4 linked regions of the Styela clava genome follow. The protein of the gene in region 3 interacts with the protein of the main gene of each other region in a pairwise test. Links are inferred from orthologs where the notes say so. Each region holds a gene or a part of one and is shown on either strand. Other genes may lie near its edges. The genes, in order: calreticulin-like; proliferating cell nuclear antigen; cell cycle checkpoint protein RAD1-like; 3-hydroxyanthranilate 3,4-dioxygenase-like.

The links.
Region 1: the proteins of cell cycle checkpoint protein RAD1-like (region 3) and calreticulin-like interact in a two-hybrid assay, tested with the Caenorhabditis elegans proteins (2 studies listed by BioGRID). The link is inferred for Styela clava from reciprocal best matches to the Caenorhabditis elegans genes mrt-2 and crt-1.
Region 2: the proteins of cell cycle checkpoint protein RAD1-like (region 3) and proliferating cell nuclear antigen interact in binary tests that used the Caenorhabditis elegans proteins (3 or more experiments, as listed by UniProt). The link is inferred for Styela clava from reciprocal best matches to the Caenorhabditis elegans genes mrt-2 and pcn-1.
Region 4: the proteins of cell cycle checkpoint protein RAD1-like (region 3) and 3-hydroxyanthranilate 3,4-dioxygenase-like interact in a two-hybrid assay, tested with the Caenorhabditis elegans proteins (2 studies listed by BioGRID). The link is inferred for Styela clava from reciprocal best matches to the Caenorhabditis elegans genes mrt-2 and haao-1.

What each region holds. Positions count from the first base shown.
Region 1 is NC_135260.1:6,839,777-6,847,267, reverse strand, and holds the start of calreticulin-like, read right to left. Parts: upstream 3,023-7,491; 5' UTR 2,948-3,022; coding exon 2,863-2,947; intron 2,111-2,862; coding exon 1,984-2,110; intron 1,487-1,983; coding exon 1,308-1,486; intron 846-1,307; coding exon 535-845; intron 55-534; coding exon 1-54. Other genes in the region: uncharacterized protein LOC120347616, read right to left, coding at 7,142-7,364. UniProt on the Caenorhabditis elegans protein: Molecular calcium-binding chaperone promoting folding, oligomeric assembly and quality control in the endoplasmic reticulum (ER) via the calreticulin/calnexin cycle.
Region 2 is NC_135262.1:17,046,836-17,053,164, forward strand, and holds proliferating cell nuclear antigen, read right to left. Parts: upstream 2,430-6,329; 5' UTR 2,268-2,429; coding exon 1,473-2,267; 3' UTR 522-1,472; downstream 1-521. Other genes in the region: splicing factor 3B subunit 3-like, read right to left, coding at 380-482. UniProt on the Caenorhabditis elegans protein: This protein is an auxiliary protein of DNA polymerase delta and is involved in the control of eukaryotic DNA replication by increasing the polymerase's processibility during elongation of the leading strand.
Region 3 is NC_135258.1:12,550,620-12,557,010, reverse strand, and holds cell cycle checkpoint protein RAD1-like, read right to left. Parts: upstream 1,417-6,391; 5' UTR 1,369-1,416; coding exon 541-1,368; 3' UTR 526-540; downstream 1-525. Other genes in the region: tyrosine--tRNA ligase, mitochondrial-like, read right to left, coding at 1-295; protein FAM227A-like, read right to left, coding at 2,122-3,813. UniProt on the Caenorhabditis elegans protein: May be a component of the 9-1-1 cell-cycle checkpoint response complex that plays a major role in DNA repair. Promotes DNA double strand break-induced cell cycle arrest and apoptosis, thereby playing a role in genome stability.
Region 4 is NC_135252.1:20,678,397-20,686,071, forward strand, and holds the start of 3-hydroxyanthranilate 3,4-dioxygenase-like, read left to right. Parts: upstream 1-4,647; 5' UTR 4,648-4,769; coding exon 4,770-4,855; intron 4,856-5,713; coding exon 5,714-5,792; intron 5,793-6,941; coding exon 6,942-7,025; intron 7,026-7,357; coding exon 7,358-7,554; intron 7,555-7,675. Other genes in the region: SET domain-containing protein 4-like, read left to right, coding at 2,467-3,873. UniProt on the Caenorhabditis elegans protein: Catalyzes the oxidative ring opening of 3-hydroxyanthranilate to 2-amino-3-carboxymuconate semialdehyde, which spontaneously cyclizes to quinolinate.

The sequences.
Region 1 (7,491 bases), on a different chromosome or scaffold from region 3:
ATCGTCAGGTTTTGTGGCATCAGGATCAACAATGTGTTCGGGCTTGTCCCAATCCTTCAGATAAAAATGCAAGTTAATACTAAACAGCAGAAAAGAGTAATAAATATACATCTCTTTTGAATTATGCTATGTAAGACATTTATAGTAAATAAAAATACAAACATTGTTACTTAAAAATGAGAATTTAGACCACTGATTAAAATGTTCGATAGTCTTCAATGGTTGAAAGCAGGTCAATTTCAGATTTTAGCAATGCAATATTTTTGCAATTATTAAAATGCATCTTTTAACAGAAGTTTTAAAAGATATTGCATCAGGCCCCGCAAGGAAAATAAAAGGATAGCTCAAATATGACTTGAGATACTAATAATTTATTAATTTTTTTTTAATGAAGGTTGAGAAAGGTAACAGGTGACAAACCAGTGCTCCCAATGTGCACCAAGATGACGCACAACCTGAACATAGTATGTGTGCCAGGTTCTGATTCAGGTTGTGCGCCATTTTGGTGCACATACTTCCGGAGCGCCAACAAACCTCTGGTTTTGTTGCATCTGGGTCAGGGATCTTCTCACGTTCGTCCCATTCTTCCTGTGAGGGTTTAGATTGATCAGGATCTTTAATTTCTTTTGCTTCCAAGAAATCCCATTCTGTTTCAAGGCTTCCGGATTGTGCTTTTGCATTGTCAATTAAAACTTCATACGTATTGTCTGGTTTCACAATTAAGGTGTAAACGTGTGTAGTTTCATCATCCTTACATCTGATATCTTTCTTAATTAGTAAATTCTTTCCCTTGTAATGAAAGATGACATGCACTTTCTTAGTACCTGGCCCACAAATATCAGGACCTGAAATGAAAGATTATTTTGGTAAGAACAAAACGTAGACACACGTTTCAGTTGCTACATCATTGCCACTTAGCAAAAATATGGATTACGTAACACGACAAACACTTAAGATGTTCATCACCAAACCGGGTATGTGAATGATACTGATGAATATTACCAGCAAGAAATGTCCAATAATATTTTGTTGTATTGTACAATGAAGTTCGTTAAAACATACTTATTAATGATGATTTAATTTTAGAAAGGAAAGATCAAAAACAAGAATTTTTTTTAACCTAGCTTATCACTAACTTTATTCAAAGCAATAACTAACAATTGATATATTTTGTACTGCCATATCAAGTATTTAACAATAGTTAGCTCTCAAAATATCTGGGCCGGGCTAGGCTTCATTCAACAAGAACAACAGTAAGTTGACAATATTCACATCACCCTGCATTCAATGGTCAAGTCATATCTTACCAAACATAATGTTATATTGTGAATCTCCATGCATATCTTCAGACTGTAATGCAGATGGGAAAAGTTTGATATATCCTCCTCCGCAATCAATATTTTGTTCATGCTTGACAGAGAATTGAATGACGAGATCTTTATCCTCATTGGAAAATTTGTCAAATTTAGAAGAAATTGCATAGAATCTAAAATAAAAAAATTTGATACGTCACTACAATACAAACGAGACTCAAAATAAATAACAGACAGAGAGCATATAAGATCGAATACGAGCAAAATCTTCCTGGGTGGGTATACTATTCACAATTTGCAACTACACAATCTTTAAACCACAACACTAATAAATTTGGTTCAACATGCTGAATACTACTGTGGCCTATTAAATTGTCAATCGAAAATTAGGGTCTAGTATAGTTTCATAACTCAATTGCTTCTAGTGGGCGTAGCCAAATAATTTTGTGACGTCGTAGTGACGTAATTTTTGGATGGCCTAGTCAAGTGAGGGTTAGGATTGACATACAGACATAGGGTCAAAATCCTCACGCTACGCCCGCTAGAAGTACTTGAGGTACAAAACTACGCAAGGTCAGAAAATTAGAACTCGATTATTTTTGGACTTAAATTTTCCTCAATTTGCAGATTTCTGAAAAAAATCTTCATGAAAAGATTATCATTAACGTACTTGGCATCTTCACTAGTTTTGAGTCCTTTATCCTGTTCTTCATCATTATAAAATTTTCCTGCTGTTAAAATCCATTTTCCATAATCAGATTTGTGTTTAGATTCTTTCCACCGAGCTTCCCAATCCGCTATAAATAATAAGAAAAATACTTAGGCTGTTGCATTGGGAGTCTTGAGGTTCCCATCAGTGAGTTTTTTATTATGGTATGAAGATTTATTATACGGTACTTTATATAAGAGGCGGACAACTCGACTACACAGACAACTCAACAGAGACAACTCGACTACAGAGAGTTCTGGTGAGTTGTCCGTCTCTTCGGGTTTTCTACGGCAACATTTCAAGATTATAGGAGTGTAACTTCGATCTTTTCAGGGTTACAATGTTGAGAAAAACACATTAATATTCTCTAAAAGGCATTTTTATGTCTGACGTTATAGAACTGTGTTCGTTTAAATTTTCGAATTATAATGATACAGGACAGAGTGGTCCAAGTATGCGAGGATGAAGGGCCGCAAAAATTTTTGAGGAGTACTTGCGGACCCAAAAGTGATCAAAGGTCGCGAGTTCACTCACTTCAAATATATTTAGGAATAAAGAGTTTATCGTTCTAATCAGTTTTTCAAGGAAACTATATAACAGCATAAAGCTTTTAGTTTTTAGTTTTATTACGTTTTAAATTGTTTCCCAAGAAATAAGGTGGTATTTTCGGTATCTTTTCTCGTGTTTGGTTTTGAAATGAAATTTATTCTTTTGTGACAAATGCTACTTGAAAACACACCCGACACTGTGGTTTAAGGTTGTTGTGGGAAATACGTTCAGACGTTTACTTCGGTCACCTTTTTCTAAACCAGTAAACTTAAATTTTATGAAAACACTCACCGTCTGTGAAATAGTCTTTGAAGTATACCTCCGCATTGACTTTGGCCAAGACTAATAGACATATAAATGTGACAAAGAATTTCATTTTTTATTGTCCTAATTACTACTTTATTGGAACCCTGGTTGATGTGAAAAAGATTATTAGAAGAAAAATAAGCCCATTTGAATAAACTCAAGTACACTGTCACATACTTCGCAAATCTAAACAAGCTTACACTTGTATATCAACTAAAATGCATGAATCTATAAGGCAATTCGGCTGAAAACTGAGCGTAAGCTTGCCGCAATACTCTGTAGCAATAGCAAGCGTGTACCCTGAATGAACGCACACGTAAAAGTTACGTCACTGAAAACAAGAGCTGGCTCGCTGTGATTGGTCACGCCACCGGTTGAAACTCCAATCATACAACGCCACAGACGTAATACGAGGTCTGAAACGAGGCGCGACGGAAGGGAAATACACGCAGCAGATTGTTGGCAGCAGGAGTTTCCCCCTATTTGTTTCGGGTATTTATTCGATAAAATAAACATTGCGGAGGAATATTAGGTTAACCGTGATCTGTGACTGGTATTACTTCCATCGCATAGGAAGTATTCGCGCACGTCGGCGGCTGGCGGGTATCACCAATCGCACAGACTGAAGCCTACATTTGTATCGGACTGAGCCACTGATAAAATCACTTAATATGGAAGAAAACAGGAACGGAAAGATGCACTTTGTGATCTCTTTATGCTGAATATGAGAACAGTTAATTGATCATAATAAATGCTTATTGTCATATCACACAACAAAGACGTCTTGCTTTTATATGTGGGTGCAAATTCAACTTCATTTGAATCTATATACGGTTGCTAAAACCAATGGGTTAGGGTTAGTATGGGTTCAAATGTACGGGAACCGAATCTATATCCATCCATAGTTTTGCTGATTTCTCAAACCGAAATTATCTGCTTTAAGATGTATAATACATAATCTAAAATTCGATTAATAAAAAGTACGCACACTATGTACAGAAAATTCTAAACTCTTTTTCGAAGTTCAGATTCTTCACAGATGTCACCTGTATCGGGGACACGATTCCAAGCATCCTTTGTTACCATACCCCGATGTAATGTACAAATTTTCCCCAATCTGTGTTGTCAGCGCCGTTGATTACGGTGCCAGCCTGGGTTATACTCCAACAAAATTGTACTGAAACATAGCCTAAAGAAATGGGGATGTACAAAAAGATAGAATATCAGCAGTATTCTACCGCTCAATATGTGATTTGAGTAGAAAAGTTCGTTCTGTCAAAACTGTAATCTCGCGCATATTTCTTGTTCTCGCAACTTGGTTGCTTACAGCTAATCAACCCCGAAATGCAAAATGGCCACTTACCTCATATCCAAACTTGGAACTTTTCTTTGAGGTGTTTGGCGCAATTCATTATGACAATGTGATTCAGGCGTGACATTATCATTAAAAATGTGAACGCATTTGTCACAATTACCACAAAGTTTGCACATTCTGATTTTGCTGATGTATGTCAGACAATCGAATCAATATAAGTTCGGCAGTTGAATGGGCTAATGCTGAAATGAAGTGCTTTGTGATCTAGAATAGATCATAGGTTCTCAAAGTGCTCCGTACGGAGCCCCAGGGCTCCGCGAGAGAAACCTAGGGGCTCCGCGAGATATTCGATCAAAATACGGACTTGGTTATTCTGTAACTGTTAATAAGCAAAAACACCAATAATAAAATTCGAGCGCACAATTATTGTATTGATTTCAGTAACTACGGTACAACACCCATTGATAACCTAACATAACATCAAAGTTTGTGATTCACAATGTCTAAAAAAGCGTTTTTAATCTGTCGCGAGTCCGCTAAAATAAAAATTATCATGTTTTCTTCCGTTTTAGTATTATATAATACCGCTTTCCAATCAAGAAATTTGGGTTGCTGATTCACCCCCTTATTAATTATTTTTAGCATCTCGTCGCCGATGATTATATTGTATTAACTTGTTTTCCATACTAAACTCACAATTACGCACAAAGACAAAAACGTAATTATCGCATTCGCGGAACAAGCAAGAAAAATGTGTGATTAGGGAGAATAAACACCACATATAGATGTTAGGGTCTAACTAAAAAACACGCATCGCTACGAAAACAATCGGTGATTACAGCAAAATGCTATCGCGCATGTTATGAGCGACTTCTTCATTCTTCCAAAATATCAAAAGAGTATTCATTAATATGTGTGTCAAATTTACAGGCCTAATATGTATAATTTATCCGTGCAATTTAGAATAAAAAGTTTTAGCATTTAAATTAGGTAAGGTATTTTTAACTTACTCAGGAATATTAATCACTAAATATCAACATGTATTTTTTGTCTGCTTTATTTTCAAAATTTATTTGTGGGGCTCCGTGAAGAATGGTCAACCTCTTCAAGGGCTCCGTAACATCAAAAGTTTGAGAACCCCTGATCTAGATCATTGCTCCGCAACCGGTGTGCCGCGGCGCACCGGTGTGCCGCGATATGATACCAGGTGTGCCGCACAGGAATTGCAACTCTTCTCTCTTTTTTACAATTTTTTTTATTCTTTGTTAATTTTAATTTAGTCTACTACTCTACTCTACTAACGTAAAGTTAACATGTTTCTACGTTAGCTTGAGCGACACCAAGTCAAATTTCTGTCACTGTGCATTTGTGACGTAGGATAGGATAGGATTTACATATTTATCCCGGGGGAGAGGAGACAAAGATGCTCCAAAACCAGTCTGCATTTGTGGGGAGCAACTTTCAAATGAAGCAATGGTTCCGAGTAAACTTATGCGCCACTTAAATACGAAATACGGTTTCGTGTCAAATTTGGCGAAAAAGCACTTAACTTTAATACAGCAAAGATAAGCACTGGTACTTTTTCGCAATTAACAATGAACGATACGACTGGATCCGGAATCCTTTCTCAACTAGTGCTGAAATGTTAACGAAAGAATTACTCCTGCGTATTCGAGAAAATTTCGTTGAAGTAAGAAATGACAGACGCTAAGACTGAAATTCAGCAAAATTCCACTTGATGTGTTTTGAATTTTAATAAAAGAAGAATACAGGCGCACGTTTCCAATGCAACTATTGAAATATTGCTCCAGTTTTGCACAACTTATATGTGCGAACAAAGTTTTTCCTCTTTATTACTGATCAATAACGATAAAAGATCCTGCATAAAAGATGTTGACGGCGAACTTCGAGTTGCTCTTTCACGTATTGATCCTAATATATAGCGATTGTGCTCATTAAAACAACCACAAATCTCTGATGGAAATATGAACATAATTGTTGTGGTGTGCCGTCGAATTTGGCAAGTTATATAAATGTGCCGCAAGTTAAAAAAAGGTTGCGTTGCGTGTGCAGGCCAATGTAAATCGTATTTTGTCTTTTACACATCGGGAAATTCGCTAATGTTTGATTGATATTTCTTCATAACTACCATGTGATATTGAAGATGTCAATATAAAAATTGGTAGCGAAAAAACACAAATTAGTTGAGCTAGTTTGGCTGATAAACAGGTCAGAATCCTGTTCTCATTTCTACACGCGGGGCTGAAGGAGAGCATGTCTCAGAGTTATCGGAGCCAATACCGCGAACACTATCCCTGTAAGCAAAAAATAATATCAACATCCATATTCCAACTTATTTTTTAAAACTCTGGATCAGATTAAAAATCCTAATATATCGGTCTACATTTAGCCGATACAGCCGTCTTTAGTAGATAGGCCTACTACCACGTAAGTAATATTTCTCAGCGTGATATAGTAATGGACTAATAATACGACGATGCTGCGATTTTATCCACCCACTTTTCATCATTCATATCGGAATTTTGACCCGATAAACTGCCGTATAAAATTGCTCTCTCATCGTTCTGCATACAGAAAAATGAAGTGTGATTTTATTTGTGTGTGAAATCTCAAATTTATTTCCAAATGTACGCAACATACATAGCACATGCGTATTGCAAAATGACAAAAATGATTCAATAGTCATATGATTGTAAAAGTTGAAACCAATGGAAACGTGATTTACAACATTGATTTAATTCGATTACACATATATATATATATACAGGCAACCCTACATCTAATTCGATATATGCTAACGCAGGCCTTGAAGATCACGCCGTTCTGCTGGGAGTCTGCTGTTTCAAACCTCGACGTCGGTTGTCGTAGAAATGCCGTTGATTTAGCAATTTTGTGAAGCGAAGTTAATCCTGCTGTGAATTCAGTTGTTCATACATCTTGAATTTCAGTTTGAGTTGACGCTGGCATTGCATTTACCACGATTATTGCCGATGATCTTTTGTCAAAGTGTTTGTCTTGTTTATGCAATGTACATTGAGCTGTGGCAGATATAGAATCACATCTATGGTGATCATCGAGATCAAACACTTCCACACTGCCGACATCAGTTACAGTTTCAACGTGAGATGGTGTGCACGAGCCTCTGTGAATTCTGTAAAAAAAAATAAGTACTGAATCAACTTGTTATATAAACTCAATTCATAAATTGCCCCAAAGTGTATTAATCCTAAGTACGAATGTAAACCGACCCATATATATGTATCTGTTACTGATAAAAT
Region 2 (6,329 bases), on a different chromosome or scaffold from region 3:
AAGTATAGCCACCACATTAATAGAAATCAATTAAAACAGTAAGTGCAAACCCCTCCCTTACGTGTCAGTCAGGTCCTCCGAGCGCAATTTAAAAAAAAGTACCACAAAGGGAAAAAAAATCAGCAAAAAAACGTGATTTTGGTCACATGACAGCCGACGTAGTCACGATCGGTTTAAATTATCATAGAGACAAGCATGGCGCAATAGTTTTTGTTTCATTGGACCAAATGTCACATCATATTGGAACCGTGCCCTACTGATAATGAGCCACGAAAGAAAAAAAGTTGAGAACCACTGATTTAGAGTCGTTGAGACTCTTAATTCACCAGTTACCATCTACGTTCATTATAAAACACAAGTTATTATAACTAAGCCCTACCTCTAGACAGGGCAATCTCCTGCTGCTTCGTGCCAGAAAAATTCCCATGGACAGCATGCGTTATTGTGCTAGCTCGTTGAAGTGTGAGAGCATAGAGAAACATTTTGTTATGAATGTGTCCAAATAATCAGATGAACAGCTCCGAACACAACCCTCGCGTTGTTCAATGTTTTATATTTTTTATTCAATATGAAATTCTAAAATATGTATTAACGAACACATGAAACACAAGTTAGAAACTGAGAGGCAGTGTTGATTATTAAGAGAAACCATGATGTTAGTATTGAAAAATTTACACCAATAATTATACAGATAGGACAGTTGAAAAGTTGTCATTTTTATTTGACAGAATTCAATTAATTCGGAGTTATAATACAAGATTAAATAAATCGAAACCCTTCTTTTCATAGGAAGTTCACTACAAAGTTAAATAGCACTACATAAATTTCAAATATTCAATTCGAATCTTGGAAATAATTAATTTAAGAGAAAGAGCTCTACAGCAAAATACAAGACAGTTTGAAAAAACAACAATATTATATATTTAAGGCCAAAGTGTAAATTGTTCAATCCACTAATATTTTATCAATAGCAATATTCATCCAACATGATAAAGCAAAGATGTTTTTTGAGGTTTCATTCGATAATGCAAAACAAATCAATCAGCTTGCACTGCTGAGAACCCAAGATGAAAGAAACAAATTAGTCAGCGTGTCGATAATTACCAAAAGGAAGGATGAAGCTATAGCTTTGGAGGTGAGTACTTCCATAAATGGAGCTGACCTTGGAGTAACTTCGGTTAAGTTGAGAGGGAAGGCAGGTCAAATGAGGCCAGTTCAGATAAATTGACAAGAGAAATCAAGAAAATGATGTTTTCATATTAACAAAGCAATCGCCATAATATGGAATTTTATCTAATCCAGTAATCAATTGGATGTTGGTGAATGGGAAAGTCAATGGAGCAGTAATCATAACTGATATTTATATCCTTATGGCAGTGTGTATAATTTATTGACCATAAGCCAACTAGTACTGTAGTAGTCTATTGTTTTTCCTTTTATGAACAAAATGTATGTGAAAACTAGAAGTTTCTTCAACTGTCTTGTTCTTCCTCATCTTCAATTTTCGGAGCAAGAAAATATTTGATGTGACCCATGTCTGCTACTTTGTATTCAACAACGAGTGGAACATTGTTTGACATTGATAAACATACAGATGGTGAGAGAGGAGATGCCTTCGCAAATAAGTTCAAATATTTTATCGCGAAAGTCAGCTGAACAGGCTCTGATATTTCGACGGTCACTTGCTCTTCTTCTTTGATATCAGAGCCAGTATTTTGCTTAAGTTTAATTTTTCCAGCTCCTAAGTCTCCTTTTGCAGAAAATTGCACTCCATCTTTAGTACAAGTGATGACAACGCATTCTCCAATTTGGCTTAAATCTCGGCAGATTCTTCCGAATTCTTGGGAGGGAAGTGTCACGCAACAGCTATAATCTTGCTCAGGGATTCCGAGTTGTTCACAATCAAGGTCCATCAACTTCATTTCGTATTGAGAATATTTATCACCTTTCGATGATTCGAAAATCAATTCCAACATATCAGCATTATCTTCTGCTCTTAGGGTAATAATATCGTCATTTCCAGCGCATTTCATAATTTTTGCCATGCTTGTCATGTTGATGCCCATGGCCAGATTTCTATCGCATCTGAAGTTTTCAAATCCATCTGCTCTTAAAGTTAGTTGCACTAGTGAGACGTGGGAACTATCCATTGCTTGTAAACTTATTCCAGATGATGTGCAATCCCATGATGCTTCTGTAACAATGTCTTTCAATGCTTCTTGTACTTTCTTGAGATTACTACCTTGGATAAGACGCGCTTCAAACATTTTGAATGTTGGTGATAAAGAACAAAATAAACGGTTAGGAGGCTATATCGACGCGAGAAGATCGGCAGCTAGCTGTCAACTAAAGAAAACCTCAACAATAAAAAATCTAGACGAAATAAAAAGCGGGAAGAAAAAAAAACGTTCTGGCGGGAACAGCATGGCGAAGTTACGCATGGATAACACAATAAATTGTTCTTACGAAACAGCGCCACCATTTTTTACAAGTAGACATGAAAAAAGATAAATGCAAAAAAGAACAATACTGTACTGGTTAATGCCATGTTTTCCCAAAAATAAGAATAAAAAAGGAAGAAGTATTTATCCCGGGGGAGAGCGGAGCCTATAATACGGCTTAACCATATGACGAACCACGGCCTCTCGTCTGGTTATCATTCCGTGTCTGGTATGGGATTAGTTAGTTATTGGACACGTCATTGTACATAACGATCGTTTCAATCAGGTATTATATATACATATAGGCTTTGGTTTTAATATTATGTTGTTGATCTTGTTTTTCTTCTCCTTCGTCATGATAAAATCGCTTTTCTCTTCGAATACTGGACCAATTGCTTTGAAATTTTCAGTGGTTAATGATTTTTCGCCAGAAGTCTATTCTTTTACTTAATTTAAAAATTTCTGTGGACTTCAAGATATTCGTTTTTTATGTGTCAGAATAAAAAACAGCGACACCTTGTGAAGTGTCCATATATTTGAGCATAGCTGTCGTTTTCGGAAGCATGGACTTAATAAGACCTAATAAGACTGTGTCTTATTTCAATTTCATTTCGAAAAACAACACTATGGCCTGTTTAGGGAGATGTATTATATTTTCATTTATCAAAAACGAAATTACAAAGTAGAGAATTGCGAGATTTTCAAATATACAATATATGAAAACCTGTATCCATTTACTTATTATTACCGTTTTCCTCTTTTTAGATTAATCATTTTTAAAAAGTGTGGAAGAGATTTCTCACTATCGACTGAGTCAAAAAAATTTCCCGGGTTTTCGAGGCTAATGAAAATTTAGAAAAGTACATAATAGGCAGAAACATAAAGAGTATTTAACTATTTATATATATTTATTTTTTGTAATATATATTATTAAAAGTGCGCATGAATGCTGTATTATTTGAGCAGTTCTTGATTTTCCTTGTAGCCTGTATATACCAAGACCTGAAAAAGAACGTTCGACATCTTCCATGTTTATTTACTGAATTTGAATATTCAAAAATCAACTTTATTTAGACTGAAATGAATTGGCATTACATAACGTTATATTAGATTAAAGCGCAAATTGCCTCCGTATAATTCCATAGAGGATTTCGATACAATCTAATTTGGAATCGGGATGGGGGAAGTAGAACTAGCCCAGTTCAAAGCATGTGGTGGGATTTAGCCGGTTTGCACCGGTTCTATAGAACCGTTTCACGGAATTTTATGAGATAAGCAAACCGGTTAGCACTACTGGATACTGTCAATGGATTTTTGCATCTTATCTGACACACCGATATTTGAGATCAAGTAACTCACGTGTTTTTTTTTCGAAATGTAAAATGGTCTCGTAACATTTCGCACGTAACAGTTATACGTTGGGTTACATTTGATAATTGTAGAAATTTTCCATTTGTGATTGTTTGTCTGAAAATTGAATTTATTTGCTAAAAAAATTATGACTTTTTGTAACAGAACCGGCTGAAAAATATGACTTTTGTAATGGAACCAGCTGACATAAAATTTAAATCCCACTGTTGATTCTAACTCTAATCACTTTTTTACATAATAATAAATCAAGTAACTAGAAGTCTATCGTACGTAAAACGACTAGATTAAAACGGCGTAAGCGACAACATATATACACAGAAAAAATATTCAAATGTCCGCGGGCCCAAAGGCAAGTAACGAGCAAAATGAATGCTCTTCACGTCGTCGGTTGGGGCTGCTTTTCTCATAAAACTCAATACATGTGGAACAATTATCTGCTTGGTCATATCCATCCTAAAATGATGCGTAAGCAAAATGTAGTGGTTTGTCATTTTGATAAATCCGTATAATCGGATTCCTCTCACGGAATCAATATGAAAATCCTATCGTTCTTCACTTTTCCTTCTGGCGGTCTAGAGAAAGCCAAACTAAACAAAATATCATATGAACATTGGAAAAGCCATTATACAACCTTATTTTTTTATTCCTGCATTATGTGACTTCACATAACTCATTCAAGTTTTTATTTCGCATTAAATATCAGAATACAGAACCACAATTGAGACTGAAATAAATTAATGAGAGTTTATATCCTCAAATCGCATACACTAAAATCATTCTCGCTTGTGAGAAAGACAAGTATGTGGTTTCTTCGTTATTTTCGAACCTGTTGAACGTTTGCGCCTTTTGGGTGAGATATATTTTCCATTTCCCCTTATCAAATACTTCTGTTTTGTAATTCTTGTTGATTTTATTTTCTTCGCAAGTGGTTTGAGTATTTTCAGGCTCTTATTTTCCCTTTTCGATGTCTTTGCTTTAATTTTTCTTTCATCGGCTTCAAATCTTCGCCTTCTTTGTTCATCCCATTCGTGAATTAACATGCTAATAACGCTGGTAAACTGTGGCTGAATTGGGTGCGCATGGCTTGCTGAAATTGTAGATCTTGCATTTTGATTTCTAGATGGCATTGTTTTTTATTTTTCTTTCTTATAAGCTTGTCAAATTCTGCAATGTACCTAAGTATTAGATTGCCCTATTTATATGTCATCATGCTAGAAAAAAGTCCTTATCAGCTCAATAGTGATCCGGCGACTGATAAGCTTGTATTTGATTTACAGCCTTTTTTCGTTATCAGGTGCGAGTAACAAACAATATCTTCGGAGCGTTATCATTTTTTGCAGTTAGGTGTTGATTATGGCTTAAAATATTCATCTTATCGGAAGCGCAAATCAGATATTGTGTAAGTTCATCTATTGTCCAAGTCCATCTCACACAATGATATGCCAATGTTATATCCTATGGGCCTATACTACCTCCGTGCTAAGTTTATGAACTACATCGATCAGTGTAAAGAATGCAAACATTGTTTGTAGCATGGAAATGTTCTTACCTGAAAGGGCCGCCGTTTCGTAATATATGGCCGCTGAAGCAGTAATTCTATTTCCTAGCCCAGGGTTTGCCAAACTGGGATTCGTGATGACTGCTGCATATAGAGCCTGCAACGATATGTAAAGAGTCTGATCGATCTTTAATGATTGATTTCAATCGAAACGCCATTGTATCTTTTTGGTTGAGCGTTGCGAACGAACATGCTCTGCCGAGTCTACTTTTAAATGCGCCAGAATTTGAAAGCGAATTTTTGTTTCATGACAATTACAATTTTAAATGCCTGTATATCCTGTACTTTTATTTGTTCATCTTTTGGTAAAAAGTTTTAGATAGACCTGTCTCGTGTCAAATAACATTCCACAAACCATTAGATGATAAACAAAATATATATCTGCTGTGTCTTTATAGAATTACAGAAAGCATTTGATACAGTTGATCACAAAATATCATTGCATAAGTTAACTTCATGGGCCTTCCACATCGAGAAATTTTTGTGTGAATGAGCTCAATACGAGTCATCATCTATTACAAATAGGTTACTACCAGGCAATCTTCCACATCCTCTTGATTCATTCTTGTCACGTATTTCGGTAAATGCTGTCTAAACAGGAACTCCGGCAATTTTGTTGGAGTATTATAGAACAAATATAAATTTACTTCAAATATAAATCCACGTTACATTATCCCAGTAGCTCCCCACCTGGGGGTATTCAGATATTACGCATCCACAAAATCGAATTTTTCAGAGATATGGCACATGAATGCTTTGTTGCACAACACGGATTGAGTCGCATTCAGATATTTCTGATGTCACATATGGAACTCAATTGTCAGCATTTTGTAATCGGTATTTAGTTGCGCTACTGCAGAGGTCGGCAACGTTTTTTACGAGTGTGACAATTTGTAATATTCAATGTCAAAATAGACGTTTGCGTGCCGATGAAAAATTTCGTTATATAAACAGACCTG
Region 3 (6,391 bases):
CTCTTTGACAATGCAACAGTAGCATTAAAGACATTAAATTTCCAATGTGTAGACTGTCGGATGTTGGATCAAAGCCACAATAAAAGCATTGTTGTTTTAATAACTGCTCTGGCAATGAGACAGAAGCATTTGGAAAAATATCTTCTAAAAGTCCTCGCTTGTGCAAGTTAAGAATGTTTTGTGGCTTTATCACTGAAGATTTTTTGACGCTGTTTTTTGCGCAGGACATTGAAAAAAACTTTGATGTCCATTTATGACAAAATAAATTACGATATTTAATAATGGGACACAGCATGCTTATGCTATTCTGAAAAGAGTGTAAAAAACAATAAGAACTATGTGTATAAACAACATTTTAAAAGAAATTGATGATTGAAAGCTAAATAACCACTGACAAATGAAGTGAAAATCTAAAATTACTGATGCCATCTGTACTTTCCCAGCTATTAATACTGTTGATTTAAGGTCTGAATGGGTTCATATTTAGATACATGAATATTTTTTGCTAGTTTGCACAGGGTAAAATGGTTTGTGTTAAAGTCAAACATCTTCTTCATCAAATTTTTCATCTGGACAACAATAATATTCAACAAAACAAATTTGTCCACTTTCATTTTTGATCATGTATTGGAAGGATAAAAACCCACGATGATCCATTCTTATACAGACTTTACTTGCAAGATTAACTGCTTTTACGGAAGGTTTTAGCAAGGATAAACGGTACTGATTTGACTGCGGCTCTGAGCATTGAAAGATTTCTACCATATCAGAATCTTTATGAATATCATTATCTGTTCGTCCACAATATCCTGAGCTTGAAAGTCGGAAATATGGTTTTTGTGGAGACATCGTAATCTCAACCACATCAGAAGTGTGGTCTAACTCGTTAAAAGCGTCTCGCAGACAATCAGCTTTCATTATAATTTTATTAACAACATTAGCAGCGCAGAATTCAAAATCTAGAGTCTCTTCTGACTCTTGCGTCTTTATACTACAATCAGTTGTAATGTTTTCTTCTTCTAAGGTTAGAGTAAGAGGTGAACCATATCCCCCATAAACCATTTTTAACGATGTTGTCATAATGGAACTACTTCCAAATATAGTTAAACACTCTTGAAGAACGTTCAAATTGATACAGAAGTTTACTTCTTCATGGACATCATATTCATCAAAAACAGTTGCTTGAATGAAAGCATTAGCTTGCAAACATTTCGCATCTTCTACAGTTACTTTCAAACCGTTTTCTGTTACAAATACAGTTGCTACATCTTTGAAATGTATCGCTTTTAAAATGTGTGAAAGATTTCTTGCATTACCAAGTTTGGCTAGGAATGTGTAATCCTCATCTTCAAGCGTTGTGCCATCCATTTATCAATATTTATAAAGTAAAACAGCTTTTTTGGATTAACAGTAATATCTAAAAATAGAACAAATCATTTTATTATATGCTTGTAAAACTATAATAGGCAATAAGCACACAAACATATTATAAAAAACAGCATTGTATAGTCATGGCAATGACATTTCATTAAATTATGCTGTAACAGGTAAGCTACAAACATTTGAAGATATGTTAGGTAAAATAATACCATGAAGTACTCTTTTTTTGGAATTTGTAATAATAACTAAAAAAATATCATTCTATTAAATACTTGTAACAATACAATGGGCTTATAGGCACGCAAAAATTTGATAAATTACATCATTGTATAATCATGTCAATGGCACCAACGAATAATTTTAATCTAAATTCATTCAAAAAACTACAAACAGTTGAAGATATATTAGATAAAATAATATCACGAAGCACTTTTTATGGAATTTATGATAATTTTCGAAAACATGTCATTTTATTATATGCTTGTAAAACTACAATAAGCACACACAACTTTGGTAAAATACATTGTATCAATTTGTATGGTATAATCATGGCAATGAAACTTAAATATATTATAACTATAAAATTAAAACTACACTTGAAGATATATTTAGGTAAAGTAGTAGTACAGCAGTTACGAAAATTACAGTGAACAATAGATGTTAAAACTATGACAACATAATACAATTTATATATTAATACTAAGATAACTGATAAGGCACAGTGATATGTTATCTAACATTTTAATCAGCTGATTCTGCAGATAAAGCAGCTTGAACTGTTGCAGTGGCACCAACCGGATTCGTATCTTCTTCTAAGTTCTTCATTTCCATCAAGATGAGATTACTAAGATAGTGAACTTGACGTGGCTTCGACAATAATTTATCCGTTTTCTTTTTGAAATTTTGTAATTCCTCTCGCTGTTTTGCACAAAAAGATTTGTGAGCTTTCATGTCTTCTTCGTAAATATGTTTGAAAGATTGTGCTGCGGCGGATGCTTTAATTCTGCTCTCGTAAATGATGTCTTGATAGGTTTGGGCATCTTTAGCTGGTGGTGTTTGAATAAGTGAATGCTGGACTAATACATCAAAAAAGGATTTTTTCTCGAAACCATATTGACGAGAAAATTGAACAAGCAATGGTGAGCGACCATACACGTTGAAGACATTCCTTGAAAACTCCATTGCACGCCCAGCAGCACAAGATGAATCGCTTTTTGGTGCAATAAACTTCGTTCTTAATCCAGCAGTGCTTTCAGTGGTTGATGTCAAAGGTTCTTCTGTAATTGTTGAAAGGGCATTTTGCTCAGATGCTAATTCCGCAACACGCGGTGTTAGTTTAGGAGAATGTGCACAAGATGCAGCATCTGATTTAGCAGTATGCATTCTTAATCCATGCGTTTTTTGAGATCCAGTCGGTGATCGAATTGACGATGTTTTAGTTGAAGCAGCGGAGCTGTATGAACTTGCTCTTCCACCTAGAGACTTGGCTGCATGATCAGGTCTCTTTTTCTTTTTTATAACTTCCTCCTTTCGCATCCCATCTGGCTCTAAAGCTGCCATATTCCATTTTTCATAAGAGCGAGGTGGCGGTGGAATACCTGAAATCCATTCGCCGCAAACTTGAGCTAACATTTCCTTGAACGCTGGTTCGTCAAACTGCCTCCATGACTGCGGAAATGCAAGGCAAAAAGCAGCATAAATTGATTGAGCCAGAATTGTACCATAATTAGCGAAAAACAAATCTCTATACTTCGGAATTTCAGCACTGAGTAACAGACCAACAAAATTGGTTGATATTCTTTTAAAGAGCTTGCCTTGGTTGATTGGATCAGGATGAAATTTTCTCAAGAAAAACCACCAGAAACCATCTTGCAGTATCGATTCTTGCATTTTTGAAAACAGTAGTCTGCAAAACTCCCGACGAAACGCAACTTTGTGTTTCAAATCTGGTTGAGCAGCGACAACATTATCAAGCACCTTGTTAGTTTGTAGAGAATGCGGTAGAGGAGCACATTTCTTCTTATTCCATCCTGGGAACTGCTGGAGTTCAACCAATCGAGGAGCGTCACTTGATTTTGCTCTTGGAGTTCCAGGAGCTTGTTTTTCTACATCAGCACCATACTTTTTCTCTGAAGGAGTTGTTCCACGAATGCTCATAGAGGGAGAATAGCTTTCAGCATAAGATTCAGTTCTCTTTTGCGGCTCTGGTGTTCTACTGTCAATTTCAAGCTGGCTCTCATATTTTGATAATTCTTCATCAAGATTGGTGATTCTTTGGTTAATTTTTCCAATCGTACCAACAAGAAAAGAAGCGGGCGATTCTTTTTGTAATTGTTCAAGAAGACGAATTTTGCTTTGTACTTTTTTGTCAACATCGAATAAATCCTCTTCACATAAGCTCATAGGAGACGCGATCCTACTGATGTGTGACATTTTTCTTATTTTTATACCCAAAAAGCAGTCTTTGTTTGGAAAAAAATTACTACATTATCATTCTAAAATAAGAACAAAATCCGTTTACAGTATTGCAAAGCACATAACCTAGAAAGCGTGCAGTGATTATCCCAGTCAAAAACCCAGTGTAACTAAAGTATAGGTCATTGGCATAATTAGTCTATATCTATACTAAATATAAATTCAACTAAGGTTATATGGCTGGGATTTAGAAACAATTATTTAATTACACAACTACAAGCGACAGTGAAATAAGTCAAAATAGCATTTTGGACATTTTTTAGGTTGAAATATTATGCCATATTGAGATTCGTTGAAGGCTGTTATATTGATCCATATGCAAAAATCAGGATAAAAGTTTAATTTATTGTCACAAAATTTGACACATCTTTATAGCAATAATTTGGATCAAAATTTCAGAAAAAAATGCCAAAATATTTTTTTAGGAATGAATCTGGAAATGTGTTTAGCATTGTTTAGAAGTGAATGACTTGATTGTGTTTGTTGATGCTTGTTGGCGTTTAGTTTCAGTGGGTGAATTGAATTCTAAGGACAAAGTTTTTAAGGACTTATTTTATTTTAATACAATTACCTTGATTCAACTTATTTTCTCCAAATAACTATGAAACCATTATAGAGTGTTTCATATTTGCACTCCGTCAATAACATATCAATTTAAACTCACAATAGATAGTGTATACACAAACACAAAAACATTAGTTATATATGATTTTTTGCATTATCCATCGATGTAAAATAATGTGAAACGGTATGGAATACCAAATCAAAGGATTCACTGAACATTCAAATAAGATTGGTGTCATTGTCAAAAACAGACTTTTTATAATTTAAGCAATATTGAAATATAACATTTAAGATGGCATTGTATACCTATGCACTTAATAAACAAGACACTTTTGAATAATATTATATCAGATATAATATTGCATAAAGTGTGCAAATTTCAGAAAGTGATTGTAGAGGACATTTATGTGTTTCAGGATGAAAAAAGGATGAAGTTTTTTTGTAAACTAATATTAAACAACAAAATTTTCAACCCAAGATTTTGTGCTTTATTTTTATTATTCCAGAATCAAAATGGAAAAACGTTTGCCACTTACTAATGATTGTAAGCACTGATTATACCATGTTTAGTTGTAAAAAAATTACAACCAGTGTTAACAAAGCACAATCAATTTTGAATCCAGAATTTTCTAAACATTTTTGCATTGAAGTAGTATGTAACCAATAATTGATGCCATTCAAAGAAACAACAAATAGAAACTTTTGACTAAAACTAACAATTTTTATAAAAAATGATATTGAGGCCCCAAAAGAAAGGCATCGGGAAGCACAAGTTTTGGTAAAACTTTTCAGTCACTTTGAATTGGAACAACTTGATAAGATTTAACAATGATTGCACAATGCATTCAACAAAATAAAACCTACGCTTGCTACACTATTGCCAGCGATCAATGACTGCATTTCTATCAAAAAACAATTAACCATGGAACTTGGCTTAAAAAATCTTAATAATGACAAAGTACATGTAATCTAGCGATCAATATTTAAATTCAAAAATTGTCTTATTTTTTAGACTTTAATAACCAACTTTGAGCAGAATATTATGTAGTTGTATTCATTTTTATAATAGAACTAATAATTTTCAACTCTAAAGCTTAATTTGAGAAATAAAGGTTTCTAATCTAATACCCTATTACATATTTAAATGAAGGACAGTACCACATGAAATACATCTTTATAATCAGAACTAAAAATTTTCAACTCTGAGCTTAATTTAAGAAAAAAATTGTTCCAAAACTAATACCCTCTTACGTAATAAATGAAGGATGATACCACTTTAAGGATATGCACCCTAAACAATTTCATAAAGTAACGTAAATTTAGTCCTAAAATATGATTGGGCACATTTTTTTCTGTTAACAATTAGATTTGGATGAATGAATATGAAACATGAACTACAATAATACCATACTAATCAATTCAAATTGAGTATGTATAGCATGGTATTTTTATTCCTGCCGCAACATCCTTGCATTATACGCATACACAAAGGCATTGAGGAAGGATTGGGAGTTAGTGTCACGCAACCTCTACTGATAGTTAAAATAATATCGTCCACAATTAATCCCCAACTTCAGTGAATTTGATTAGCAATAAAAATATTGTATAATTCCCACTTTTAATTATACACTACGTAAAGATTACCTAACAATTACAAGAACATATAACACAAGAAATGTTACAGACACATTTTCAAGGCGATTCTCTCTCTGCTGTGTTGTAATCAATGTGGCAAAACCAACACTAGATCATAAATTATTTTTATCAGCCAATATGCAGATATAAATTACATACCTTACAGGATAATTAACAAATTACATACACTAATGTTTGTAACATCTGATAAAACCATAAATACAAAATAATTTGCAAAAAAACAGGACAAATACATGCACCGCAGCTGTGCCTAACTTTAAATTTTTGCACATGCATAGAGTTTGATAAGAATTTCATATTTTCATCAGAATTTAGA
Region 4 (7,675 bases), on a different chromosome or scaffold from region 3:
GTATAATATTATATGTTTATCTTTGGTATCATGAAATATATCAATAAAAAACAAAGTGAGACGACAATTTGGCGCAGAACGCCAGGAAATCACTCTTATTATCATATAATTATAATAACAAAGTCGAAAAACCATTTTGGTTTGGCTCAATAAGTTTCGATGCGGGAGGAACAAAATCATTCTGTTTCACATATTCCTCTGCAGTGGTTGATACCCGAATGACTGGACCATTGTACTATAGTTGTCGCTGGGGCGACCAATATCATTTTACTCTATTCCTGAACGATTTACTGAAAACTGTCTTACTACCGATAATACTTTCACCAAATGAACCGATCGAGATCGATGAAAATGCGCGCTTGTATACCTTGGATAACTTCGAAGCGAAATGAGTCTGTAGAGAGATTTTTAAGGAAATGTTAGATGTCAGTAGCGGCTTTTATCCAGCCTTGTTCGGAGAAAACGACACGGTTAAGATATTTTGGTATCCGCACGTAGATTGCCCCAGAGGACATTTGCACCCAAGAATGTTTAACCGACGTACTTTTGCTCCATGTATTGTACATTTGCGCTTGTGAACATTGGTATTCTCATGTATATTTGCACCCCCAGTCATTTTATCGGTTGTAGAATACCCGACATAGACTGCATGGTAACCGGCCGAGATGCCGCGGCACGCCACATATCCATTTCTAGAAGGTTCCATTACATTTGAACCCACGGCAATTGCACCTGCATACGATTGCACCTAGGGAATTTTTCTTTGCTTCACGGATATTATAACCCTAACCCATGGGTTTTAGCCTCCGCATATAGATTGAACCCGCGGATATAGGCCAACCAATGAGCATATATTGGGCCAACACATGGGTTCAAAATCAAATATACGTGGGTTCAAATGTACGGTCACTTTTCTAGAAGCATTCCTGAAAAGTAAATTCAAGGAGATGGTGAAAACTCATCTTCCTCACTTTCGCTCTTTGATGAGATGAACCGAAAACAAAAAGTACCACAGCTGGACTACGAAGCTGCACTTCATTCTTCGCACCATGCTCAGACGCTAGAAAATCTGCTAAATTGCTCTTCGGGAATTTCCGTTCGGAATCGAAACCAGCAATGGGTGCAGGGCTTATTCAAGCGTGATTGCCGCAAATAAATTTCGTAAACAACCTTCGCTCGAGCCCTATTCGCGCAGACCTTTCCACTGAGACTCGTTTTGTGATTTTAAATGAGACGAGATAATCAGCAGTACAAGTATATAAGTCAGTAAGTAGTGAAACTCAACATCCAACATTATTAGGGTCCGAGATAATAAATAGGGCATATTAGACAAATAAAGATAACAACGCGCTTGTCGTTTCTGCGGTGCCTACCGCTGATTTGCGTTCGTAAGGTATTCGTTGTTTTAGCATTGCCAACTATGGAACACAGTACCGGTACCGGCGTCACTGCAGCACTGTCATACTTCTGGAGTGGAGTGTATACTCCTCAAAGAGCGCTAATTTAGGTCATATTGTTTTAGCCTGCACATGCTGTCACGTATTGCACTATCGTCTGTCTACGTGACATAACGCTGAAGTGCAATGATTTATTAGGTATGTTAGTCGTTGGCATTGATTAACCATACAGCCCATAGGTAACTAGAAGTTAACGAGAAACAATAAAGAAGTGTTTGCAAGTAGTAAACATAAAGTAACTCCGCATTTTTAAACGTCCCTGCTGTCTGATTATTGGGGAGTAAATGTCAAACGGAAATTTGAAAAATTTCGTCTGGACAGGCATGGTGCATGTGTAGTATAGCTGACAGCAGTAACTACATGGTTATATACTGAAGTGGCTATGCAGGTGAGTGGCTACTATAAAACTTATTTAGTTGACTTTATAACTCTTTTTGACAGGGAAAACTTGGGTCTGGTATAGTTTAGTACCACATGCACTTCTAGTTGGTCTGACTCGACAATTTTTGCATATGTCAATCCTAACCCCCACCTGACTACGTCACTGAAAAATTACGTCATTTCGACGTCACAGTGGCGTAATAAGGCCCACCAAAGTATGCGAGTGGTCGCTTAAAACGCGCAGACGATCACTTGAAATCAAGCAAGTTATTTCTCTCGTTTTCTTGTCACAACGATCACGATAGGAGAAAGATCGCCAGCTTTAGCGAGTTCGTTATCGGCGGCGCAGATGCCATTTCAGGCGATCGTAATTATTATTTGGTAAGCCCTATGGTGACGACGTAGTGACGTATTTTTGGATAACATATGCAAAATTCGTTATGCTACGCCTACTAGAAGTACCTGTGGTACTAAACTATACTAGACTCGAAAACTGGGCCTAAGTAAGACTGTAAGACATTCTCAATTTTTGTACACCTTTGTCATAAAACTTAAAAATGAAAACTTCAACTCTGTAACTGCTATTGTTGTTATTGTAGGTGATGAAAAAATATTAAAATAATTTTTTATGTGTGGCATGGGAAGAACTAAGCGCAAGAGGAAAAGGAAGAAGGTATCTCAAAACCTAAATGAACAAGTCTCTCATGAAAGTGTTTACACAGAATTACTCAAATTCATGAAAGAAAAGAATTTTAAATCAAATGGGCTTGTTCCTGCAAATTTTTCTGACACTGGCCGTGGAATGATGGCGAAAAAGACCTATCAAGAAGGAGACACGCTGATATCATTACCTTGTCAAATCCTCATTGGAACAAAAAAAGCTCTGCAAGCTTCGAAATGGGCTCAATTTATGTTGTCATCTTCAAAGATGCCAAGATTCACCTCCTTACAAATTCTCTGTGTGTTTTTAATGGAGGGAAAATATAAACTTGATAATGGATTCAAATTTGATTGGGATGTTTATATAAAGACCTTGCCAAAGACTTTTCACTTTCATCATGTATTCTGGGATGCAAAGGATATAAAATTATTACCGAAAACGATCCAGAAAAAAGTGAAACTGTTGCATGAAAAGATTCGAAGTGACTATATTGCAGTAAAAGATGTATTTGATTCATATTGTGGCCAGGAAAAATTTGCATTATTGTGGGATGCGTATCGTTGGGCATGGTGTTGTGTGAACACTCGTTGCATTTATTCAAACCATGAAGAATTGAGCATCAAAAATATTTTGAAATCGCCATCTGATTATTACTACCTTGCCCCCTATTTAGATCTTTTTAATCATAGTTTTTCAGCAAAAGTAAATGGTTTTTATAATCAAATTTCCAAAGCTTACGAGATCAATACTTTACAAAGATGGAATAAATTCGAACAAATATTCATTTCTTATGGACCGCATAGCACTGAAGATTTATTCCTTGAATATGGTTTTATAGTACCTGGACAGAATCCGAATGATACTTTCAATGTTTCTTTGGACAACATTTTATCTGTGACAATGAAATTAAAAACCTTATGTTCAAAATGCCGTAAAACATTAACTTTCATTTTAAATTCTCATTATATAAATAAGGATTGGTCACTAAGTTACTCTGGGTTATCATATAATCTCTCATGTACAATATTAATCATATCAAAGCTCTATTTTCTCATAGATAAATCAAATTTTTGTAAAAATCCTAAATCTTGTTTAATAATATTACAACAAGAAAAACAACTTTCAAGTTTTATTACTGAGATTCATGATGGAAAAATTCCTTTTATAATATTATCATATGCAAATGAGATAAAAACGAATTTAATTAAGAATATGAAGTCAGAGTTTCTCGATGAGTTTAAAGAGGTTTCTGATAAAATTATTGAAGACAAAAATAAGGAACGATACCAAACTATTTCTGATTTATACCAAGTTACTTTTAATATCTTTGAAGCTGCTATGTTACATAATATAGAAGAAGCATTTGGACATTAGACTTACTTACGTTAACATTACACATCTGTGGTACAAATCTCGTGCCCACCAATAAGGGTGTACACAGCAATTTTCAAGGAGGGGGGGTCTTGATTTGCCAAGTTGGACTGTAATGGCTAGCTGGTCCGGCCAGAAAATGTGGTTTTGCATGAGGCTTTACGGTTCAAAAAGCGTTTCAAGCTACGGAAAATAATTGTTATGTATGATACCTGCAACCCTGGTACCTATTACCTTACCCAGTGTGTAAAGCAGGGGTCGGCAACCTTTTGTCGCTCGTGGGCCAAAATAATGGTTGCAAGTCATTGGCGGGCCGCAGATATATTTCTAGGAAATTGAAAACCGAACGGATGATACTTTTTATAATAAAAATGAAGGGGTGATTTCTCGAATAGAATGTAGATTTATTTCCTCTTTACATTGCATTTTCGGCACCATTGAACCCTTTGCACTTAGCATCAACTTTTCTGCATTTTGTTGTCATTTGTCTAATTATAATTAAAGTATAGGCTGATTAAACGAGTAATTGTGAATTATACTTAATATACTTGTTAGAATATAATATTATTTAGTCTACACTCTTCTCACAATGGATTGTGTAACGTGAAAAATATAATCGTCAAAACAGCTGTTTTGTTACTATAATTCAGTGAAGCGTCGCGGGCCGGATTATGTTACCCGCGGGCCGTAGGTTGCCGACCCCTGGTGTAAAGGTTAGTTAGGCTGAAACAGAAAGATTTCAGTCTTAACTTTCAACATATTCTTTGATACCAATGGCTGCTTGTAGGCTGGTAGGGCCTTGTTCAGAGCAAAAATCCTGAATAAGCATCATAAAAACTAACACTGACTATTTCTATTTTTTAGATTCCTAATTTAAATTTCTTTTTAACACAAAAATTATGTCAACTCCTGGTATCATAAACGTAGGGCAATGGATCGAAGAAAACAAGAATTCTTTCGATCCTCCTGTTTGCAACAAAATGATGTAAGTTGCCTTTTATGTGTGTTAGAATGGGTTTTGTTTCAAGTATAGGAGTTATCAAATATGTGGTTAATTTTGTCGAAAAAAAAATTGCAGTAACTTTTATATGATGACGCGTAATTTTTTTTTAAATGATCATTTTTTATATTTGCTCCATAATTGTGGAGATAAGTAACAGAGTCTGAGTGTAAATCATACTTTAATATGAGACGAGTGTATTATAAGGATAGCATCCACACATTATTTCCGGGGAGAGGAAAGTCTATAAGATGGCTTAATCATATGGCAAATCAAGTCCCCTCGTCTGGTTACCAGTCCATGTGGGGTATGGCATTAGTTAGCCAGTTATTTTGTTTTCAGATGCATGGATTTGATGGTGGGGGAGGCCATAATCGACCAGCGGTTACGTAAACTACCTCAAAGTAGCGAGGAGTTCAGCAATCCTCTCGCACATAATTTGAACCTACGAACCCACGCAGGGTAATCAGAGGTGCGGTGGCAAGTGTATTCCCATCGCTTAGCGATGATGCGTCACGCCGCCCAGTCAATTACAGATCGTGTAAATAGTGTTTCTGAATTGCTACTCTCGAAAATTCAGGGTTTAAAATAACCTCTGTCACGCTAGCGAAATCTTGCTGCCCAAAAATATGATGTCATAAAAAGTGTTTCATTATAAAATTTATGAATAAAAAATAATTTAATGGCACTAAACAAATGAAGTCTAAAATTTCGTTAGGGTTTCCGTGGCTATTGATTAGAAATACTTCGCAAAGTGGGAACACACTTTTATACCATCGTATATTTTTATGTAGGATTTCGCTGACGTGACAGTGGCTTAAAATAACCACTTCAAATTTTTAGGCACAATGGACAATTGAAAGTGATGTTTGTTGGAGGACCAAACGAGAGGAAAGATTATCACCATGAAGAGGGAGAGGAGGTTTGTGAATCTTCAAATATTTTTACTACATGGCAGGAAAGGCTTTTCAATATAACTGAGAGGCAAGAAAAGTCAATGAAATTTCATGCCCCAAGTTTTTCCCATGAACTTCAGTTACGGTATATGGAATTCACGGCGTTCTAGAAGTGTGTGCACCAGGATGGTGCACAATCTGATAACCCCAACCTGGTACACATACTATATACTCAAGTTGTGCGCCATTTGGTGCACATACTTCGGGAGCTGTTTTTCTGATCATATTGACTTGTCAAATCGTGGATCGGTCAGTGTCATTGTCTCTATGAAACTTCATATTTGGATTGTACACAGGTTCCAATCCCATACGGGAATAGTTATGTGCGAGAGGATTGCTGGACCCCTCACCACTGTAAGGTTGGTTTATGTAACCGCTGCTAGGTTACGGCTTCCTCCACTATCAAGTAGACGCTTCAAAATACAAACGAGAATATCGGTCAGAGACCGATGACTTAACATAGAAAGTTAGGGTATCCCCCAAAACAGCGCTCTTACTCTATAGTGACACCTTGTGTCCCATCACTAATTAATTAATAACTCGCTGATTATATGACATAATTCGCCCAGAATCAATGGGCTTCTGGTCCGAGATAAGATGAATGCACATGCAAAATCTGGAGCAGATTCAATTTCGCTTTCGTGAGATATCGCGTGCATCTAACAGACAAACAGACAGACATACAGACAGACGAATACCTATCAACATACTTAACAACATACTTAACAACAAGTAATAACTTTCTGACTAATCCCATACCCGACATGGACCTGTAACCGGACAAGAGGCCGTGGTTCGCCATATGGTTAAGCCGTCTTATCGACTTTCCTCTCCCCGGGATAAATATGTAAATTCTATGTAGAATTTACTACTCGACAGCTGTTTTCCTAATTAAATTGACCTAAACTTCAAATTTTGGATCAGTCAGTGTATTTGTACACTCTAACACCTTATATTCTCAGTAACTTTTGGATCTTCAGTTGTTGACTGTAACATGCTCAGAGATTAGTCTTTTCGCAGTTGCAAACCCATGCAGGGTGTCAATGCTAGCTAGCCTAGTTGAGCCTTTATTTATAATGTGCTGCTTGTAGGATGTTCATTTGTTATATTTTCAGCTTTTCTACATGGTAAAAGGTGATATGTGTCTGAAGATACTTGAGAAAGGAAAACATAAAGATGTTGTAATAAAAGAGGGAGAGGTAACCAACAACATCTGTATTTGATTACATGAATGTGTATACATTTTGTGGATTGATACGAGATTTGTAGTTCAGAGATTTTGGCCCCCGATTCAAAAAAAAAAAAAAACTACTATTATTGTTAATGAACACACTCGTATGAGCCCTCATTCTCGATCTGAGTGATTTAAAACTTTTCATAGAAAATTACTGCATATGACGATATATGCTCGTAGAACGCTGTTTAAGAATCAAATTGGGATTGAGTTTACATGATGTCGCTTTGAGCGAATCCTCATAAACACAATACTATTGTTCGTAGTAAGCATTTTATATTTATCATCTCGTTTTAGGTATTTCTCCTACCAGCCCGTATTCCGCACTCACCACAAAGAAAAGAGAACACAGTTGGTTTAGTTATTGAGAGAGACAGACTAGATAATGAGACTGACGGCCTTCGATATTACACTGGCGATACAACGCAGGTTTTATTCGAAAGATGGTTTCATTGTTATGACTTAGGATCGGAACTTGTGCCTATAATAAAAGAGTAAGTTTATTTTTATATGAATAACTTGTGTTATTCTTTCTCATGCGATGTATGCAGTGGTGGGATTCAAAAATTTTGTCAGCCGGTTCCATCACACAAAAGTCATATTTTTCAGCCGGTT